Linked DNA regions of Rattus norvegicus. The main gene of each other region encodes a partner of the protein of the gene in region 2 in a complex. Links are inferred from orthologs where the notes say so. Each region holds a gene or a part of one and is shown on either strand. Other genes may lie near its edges.

What was found. Proteins that work in one complex are often made in the same cells at the same time.
Region 1: Strip2 (region 2) and Pdcd10 share a complex: the UniProt entries of both Homo sapiens proteins name them as parts of the core of STRIPAK complex. The link is inferred for Rattus norvegicus from reciprocal best matches to the Homo sapiens genes STRIP2 and PDCD10.

The regions. Positions count from the first base shown.
Region 1 is NC_086020.1:162,613,565-162,617,216, forward strand, and holds part of Pdcd10 (programmed cell death protein 10), read right to left. Parts: intron 1,081-3,652; coding exon 963-1,080; intron 1-962. UniProt on the Homo sapiens protein: Promotes cell proliferation. Modulates apoptotic pathways. Increases mitogen-activated protein kinase activity and STK26 activity. Important for cell migration, and for normal structure and assembly of the Golgi complex.
Region 2 is NC_086022.1:59,513,443-59,517,094, reverse strand, and holds part of Strip2 (striatin interacting protein 2), read right to left. Parts: intron 3,295-3,652; coding exon 3,174-3,294; intron 2,553-3,173; coding exon 2,484-2,552; intron 2,297-2,483; coding exon of another isoform or gene 2,292-2,296; coding exon 2,185-2,291; intron 1,534-2,184; coding exon 1,406-1,533; intron 295-1,405; coding exon 91-294; intron 1-90. UniProt on the Homo sapiens protein: Plays a role in the regulation of cell morphology and cytoskeletal organization. Required in the control of cell shape. Calmodulin-binding scaffolding protein which is the center of the striatin-interacting phosphatase and kinase (STRIPAK) complexes.

The DNA.
Region 1 (3,652 bases), on a different chromosome or scaffold from region 2:
CAACTTGGTCAGGTGTAAAAATAAATAAATAATTTCTAAAGTAAAACAGAGTAAGACTACATATCTTTGAGATATATGAGGAAATGTAATACAATCTTAAATAATCCACCCATCCATTGATTTAAAGAAAGGAGGCTCCTTAACTCATGAGTCCTGATGTTCTGTATTGATGTCCCATGAGATCTTAAATAATGACACTCATAAAGAAGAAGTAGGTCATTTACATATTTGTAAAAAGGAAAGGGGAATTCAGAAACTTAAAACCCCTATAGTGTGGAATGTAGTACAGCCTACTTTATTAAGCTTCCTTTAGTATTGAATATGTGATGGGCAATAATATTAAAACTCCTACAGTACTGAATCTACTATAGTGTAGAATATTTTATGGTTCATCATACTAAAACCACATCGTGTTGAACATACTTTGGCTCATATTAAAATGTCTACAATGTGAAATATACTGTAGTTCATTATATTATAATCACAAACTTCCTACAATTTTCAGTATATTCTTAAAATTTCATTTGAAAACAAAGGCCAATACAAGCTCAACATATAGGCTGGGCTCCTAAAATGGCTTTTAAAAAGAAGTCTCAGTCAGACTTGGTAGATAAAAAGGCTTCTTACTACCAGGCTCACTGTCTAGTAGGAAGCTCATCAACTTAAAAACGGCTCACTTCTTTCAAATGCTACACAGAATATTTCTCAGAACTTTCAGTGAATTTGAAATTTGTCGATCCCTATATTAATGGGCAAAAAGATAAAAGTGTGTTGTATCAACAAATATGTCACTTAACTAAATTTGACAAATACAGAAAAGTTAAAGAGTCTGCTTGTTTCCTTTTACAGATAATGTCCACTACCATCACAAGAAGCATGAAGGAAGGGGGACAACTGGTAATGATCTGAAGGAAGTGCTTCTCAAGAATGGAGAAACTAAACACAAGTCTTCGTTCTGGTACCTTCTACGTCATCAGCTGCCATACGAAGAAGGGACTCAGTGAAGTTAACTTCTACACTTTTTTTCTCTAAGATTTTCATAATGATGTCTTGTGTGAGGCCTGGATTTTCCTTTTCAGCCTGCAAGAAAAACATGTAATGAGTCAACTGTCTGGTTCGAGATCTCTGGCTTCTGTGACAGAGGGATATACTGTGAGAAACACTGCTTCCACAATGAGATGCTTCCCATGCTTTGTTTTTTGTTTGTCTGTTTCTTTATTTTGGAGGGAGGTTTCAAGGACAAGGGGCAGATACAAGGGGATGGATGGGAAGATGAGTGGGACTGGCATACATGATGCAAAATTCATAAAGAATTAATAAAAAGGTAAAAAATCCTTACACTTCTCATGTTTTCCTATAAAAAATATCTCTAGTTTTGAAATACAGAAATGTGATCAGCATTTTAAAGCTAAAACTTAATTGTTAAGAATTTATTTACTTATAAGAACAGAAAGCATCGGTGACACGGTGCCACTAAGGGCACCATCAGCTTTGCTCAGCTTATACGTCAGAAGCTTTTATCATGTGCAAAGTCACAGACACACCGAGCATTCCTTGCCTTTCTATTATGTCTTCTCTCAGTCAACCAACAATGACAAAATCTCTTTATGATAGATTGCTCTTATCATGAATACACTGAGACATTTTAGCATATATAATATTTCATCTTAGATGGGCAATAATAACTCATCAAATGTTTTTGGAATATGTGCTGTATTAGAATTAAATACCAGGAAAAGCTAAATAAAACACTAGGGTAGCTTTTGCACTTTTAAGTAAAATTGATTTATTCACTTACCTACTTTTCATAGAATAATTTCCATTTCTCATTTTAGCTTTATAGCAAGAAATTTTGTTCAATGGTTTTTAAATTATCACTCATTGAAATTTGATTTTTTATTTACTGTTACTGGGATGTGTATGTGTGTGTGTGTGTGTGTGCGCGCGCGCGCGTTGCTTGGCCATAGGCAAGTACCCATGTACAAGTATAAGTGATAGGACAGCTCCGGGGAGTCACTTTTCTTCTCCCACTTTGCATGGGCTCGGGGAATTGAATTTTGCACATCAGGTTTGCTTGACAATTGCATTTCTGCATGGAGCCTTCCCAGCAGCCCTCTAGAGTACCCTGGAAAGCTACCGACAGAGCACGATAGATAATGTGGAGCATTATAAATAAATGCACATCTCTTAGGGCCCTAGAATCTAGCCATGCCAAGATTGAATATAAAGGCAAGTTTTGTACTTCCACTTTCACAGTAATTTAGTCTATTCCATTACTTAAATTTTTTTAATCAAATTGAAATTGTGTCTCCTTAAGGATGCCTGCCAATTAAATCTATATAACAGTTTTTCTTTTATCCTAATAATCATGTAGAAGCATAATTTCTAATCTTGATCCAATGACACTCATTCAGCTTCCTGAGTTTCAAACACAATTAACCTCTCTGACTCTGGAGCTCCATCCTAATGTCACCGAGGTTACAGTTTTCTTGTGTTCATCACTTTCTTAAAACACTCTTGAGATCTCAAGTAGGAAAACCTTAGAGGTTATGAACTGAAGTGGGGAAAGGCACAAAATATACACATGGGATGGATCACTGTTCTTGCAGCATCTAAATTCTGTTTCGTCAAGGTAACCCTCAAAAGAAAAATGATTCAAATTTGGTTAAATGAGCTATTATAGTCTTAGTTTCCTGAACTGCCAAAAATTATACTAGATGCTTATTTCATAACAGTTGTTTATCTTCCTTGTCCAAGTAGCATTAAGTCCACCTACATAATGAATTATCTTGGGGGCATGGTGTTTACAGGAAATAGCTGCAGAGAAACAGCTTGCTAATTAAGTTAAAGTGCTGAAAGAATTAAATCTAAGTCTGCACACAAAGTTTTTAATACTAGTTTGATTTGGCACAGCAAAAGGTCAGCAGTGGAAAATGCAGAAGTCTCACAGAGGCCCTGAGCTTTCCCAGTTCTCAGAGCTGAGAGCCAAATGCAGTTTATTCCGTAGTTTAGGTAGTACAAATATCTTAGGGAAGTGGTATATCCTAATAACAGAGTTATCCCAAAACTTTGTACACAACAAAATAGACAATATTTTATCTATTGCTATGTACTAATTAATGGGATGTTTGCACTTCCTGAGCACTGTAGTTTCTCAAACACCGGACTTAGATTGGCACCACCATTCTCATTTCCCCCTGCACATTGATTTTTTTTTTTTTCCTTTTTCTGGTACTTGCTTTTAGTAGTTCCTCAAAGACAGGCCATCATTTCAAAGAATGCAGATCAATCTAGTATGTTGAAATCACAAACTACTTCTAAAGAAGTTCACAATGTAAACAGATGTTAGTTTCACAGTACTCATTTTTCTAAAACACTTTACACAACCCACTAGGTTTGCAGGGCAGCTGGGCACAACTGTTGGAAATTATGTCTTGGTGCAGTGGTTTTCTCAACCTTCTTAGTGCTGCAACCATTTAATATAGTTCCTCATGTTGCATAAAAATAATTTTTTTGCTATTTCATAACTGTAATTTTTCAACTGTTATGAATTGTAGTATTAATATAGTCTTAGGTGATCCCTGTGAAGGATCAAGTCCTGGCTAAATATTCAAAAATTCAAATTCAATCAATACATTTGAAACCTCTGCTC
Region 2 (3,652 bases):
CAATATCTTACAATATTGATTTTTTATTTTTTGGCCTGTCAATACCCCAATACAGTCAATACCCCAATACTACTGTGTGTTTGTCCATACCCTTCGAGAGCCACGGCGGCCCCGCAGTTTGGAGGGTGGCGGGGCCAGCTGAGACTCGCCTAGATCAAGAGTGTAAGAAGGCGGAGAGGCAGCACGCATGCTCTTTACGACCTGGATACTGTCCTCAGCTAGTGGAGGCAGGCCCAACTCTGCACGCTTCTGTATTTTGAGAGCCTGCAGGTGCTCAAATCCACCAAGGGTAAACTAAAGAGTAAAAAGGAAAAGGGAAGTTATCCAGTACCAAGTGCCGGCCCTGAGCATGCTGAGTTTATGTATTTAGAAACAGACACACACGCATGCATGCACATGAGCACATACAGACACACACACACACATGTATACAAGCACACGCACACAAGCGCGTGCATGCGCGCGCGCGCACACACACACACACACACACACACACACACACACACAAGTAACTAACAATAAGAGGTCATAAATTTCAGAGAGAGTAAAGAGCAAGGGATGGGTGCCTGGGAAGGGAAAGGGGGAAATGATGTAATTATATTAAGATTTAAAAAAAATGTTATGTAAAAGGAAAAACCTGATCCAGTCTGAATGTCTCCAGGGTCAGAATAAAACACAGTATTACTTATTGCCCCAGAAATTAGAAGCAGGGGTGGAAAAAGCTTAAAGAACAGAAGACACCCCTGCTTTGTTTTGTTTCTTAAGCAGGGTCTCACTGTGTAACCTGAGCTGGCTTTAACTGCAAACTCCATCCTCAGTCTATCAAGTTTTACAACCATATGCCACCATCCGTGCCACAATCTCTCATTTTAAGGAGCACATTCAGATGTCAGGATGTCCCAAGAGTCACAGTTTCCTCTGCAATCCAGTGGTGGTTTACTCTGTGAAGCCCACTAATAGGGTATGTTGTTCCTTTAGCCCTATAGGATCCGAGCCAGAGGAAGACTATAGGATGAAGGGTCAGGTTGAAAAATAAATAACAAATTATTAACTATATACTTGTAAGGATGTCTATCCTCTAGTGGAAGAAAAGGCATGCATTAGTTTTAACATTTCCCAGTTACAGAAACAGGTAGAGAACGGTCAGAGGCTCATTGTAATGGACAGAGCCAGATCCCCAGTGGCCAGCTAGTGTGCTTTCTATGAAACATCGATTCTGTTAGGGAAAGGCGCCACTGATCTTCAGCTCAGAGAGTGGCATCCAACAGATCCGTCCAATAGAAAAAGAAGCCTGATGATGCTGACTATTGGACAGGGACTAACTGCTGCCAAGCTCCAGCTCGGAGAACCCAGATTAGAAGGATCAGATTGGGTGAGATAGGGATGGAGATGATCAGCCACTCACCATGACCACCTTCCAGAGGAGAAGCAGAACCTTCTTTATTGGAAAGTGGGGGGCCAGGCCACTGCAGAATTTGGTAACCATGGAAAACAGCAGGAGTGCAAAAGGCTCTTCATTATGTGTGGAGAAACCTGAGGTATAAGGAGAATCAAGAGAAAAGTGAGAGGAAGTAGCTGAGTCTGGGCACGCTGAGGAAGGCACTCAACCTCCCCTGACAAATTCCAGAGTACTTATAAAGGAGGCACAGTGAGACCCAGAAGGCTTCCCCTGAAGGGCAGGATCGAGGCTGTTGTGGTATAATTGTGTGCTCCACCCCTAGAGGGTAAGGAAATGCTTAGAGGAGCCTAGCAAACAGGAAGTAACAGTGATGACGTGGCTTTCTGGAATCAAGGTATTTCATGAACCACACTTCATTCTTAACTTATTTACATCAATAAATAGATTTTTTTTAAAAAATAGTTTTACATCTTATCCTTGTCAGATGACCACTTCAACTTACATTAGAACAAAGTTCAGTTTTTAAGGCAATTCAACTCATTTTTTCCCTCAATATGGGATTCAAATGGAAGAATGGCTATTCTCAATTCTAACCAAGGAAACTAAGACACACAGGGGTGCAGTCAAACCCAACCCTCATGCCCCATGCAATATCCTTGGCTTAAAAAGGAAAAGAAGCTATTTTTTAAAAAAGAAAAAGAACAAAAAAGGACTGCTTTCCTCTACTGCTTCCCGTCCACCCTCAGAGCTTTCTCCCTAGCCCCTCCTCACATGCTACTTCTTACTCAGTTCGGTTCGGAAGGTCTCTCGGGCTGTCCTCCACCCACAGGGGTCTATTTCTCGCTCCAAGCGGATATTTTCCACCATTAGGTACATGACACTCAGCAGTACCCTGAGGTTACAAAAGGATCATAAGAGATGCAGTTCCCAGCTTATAGTTGCAGAATTCACAGATGAAGCCAGTGGAAGTCCAACCAGAGAAGATTAGTTAAAAGGTAACTTCCCACTTTTTTTGGGATTTGGAAAAAGGGTAACACAGGCCACTTATCACCTCTGTTCAAAGCCCAGGGGCACCTTCACTCACCTGAGCTCAGTGCTGTCAGCAATGGAGACGGCTGGTTTCCGAAGGGCACTACTAGAGGCCTGGCTGTTGCTGCCATGCAGAAGAAAGAAAGAAGAGGAACCCATCAGGCCTTTTCCTCCCCATGCTCACTTACTCTACACAGAAACACAAACACCTGCCCTTCCTTGTCTCACAGAGACAGTGAGGCTCAGCTAAGGAACCTGGAGACCCTTGCTACCTCAGTAAATCCTCAGCTACAGTGAAGACAGGCAAAAAGAAAGTCTGTGGTATCAACTCCTCTTGTGATTCCCCACAATGCTTACCGCTGTGCTGGAGACAAAACAGATGCTAAGCAATATCTGACAAGAAATAAGCAGATTTCAGTGTATTCAAAACTCCCGGGTGGCAGGCACAAGAGAAAGCAGTAGTAGCAGCAGCAGCAGCAGCAGCAGCAAAGGCCACTTTGACAGTTATAACTCATGACAGATAATTAGGCTCGATGACAGAAAGTGGTCTGTTTCTCTTGTGATTATGATGGAAAAGTTTATGAATTCTAGAGTGAGGGAAGAACGCTGGCTAGGAGGACACTGTCAGTGAACTTTGAGTGGAGATGTGAGTGGGGATTCCCATAGGGAAATCTACTGAGGAACTCCACAGACATGTGAATTCTTCAAGAACGTTTCTAAGCCAGCCCTCCCCAAGGCTTCTTACTCGATTTCCATGTGGAGTAGCTCCAGGAAGGCTGAGAAAGTCCCCATCCGATAGAGCAGGAAGCAATTGTATCTGGACCAGTGTAGCACATCAACCTCAGAATCGCATTCCCCAAAAGTGCCTAGAGGATTAGATAATGGCTATAGGACTTGGCGTTGGGAGGGGGCAGGCAGTTTAGTTCTTTCTACCCCACCATATGATCTTAAAACTTTGCCAATACTTTACAGAATAATGAAGCTCACAGTATCTGGGCAGGGCCCACGAGGACTTCCTTAAATGAGTGAGTCAGTAGAGAGAAGAGGTAGTCTCCTGGGTAAGCCAAATGTGCTGCTCACCAATGGCCAATCTTTTTTGAATGATTCATTTTTATTCTATGTTCATGGGTGTTTTACTTGCATGTATGTCTGTTATGAGGGTGTCAAATCACTTGGAGTTGGATTCCGGACAGTTGTGAGCTGCAATATGGTTGCTGGGAATTG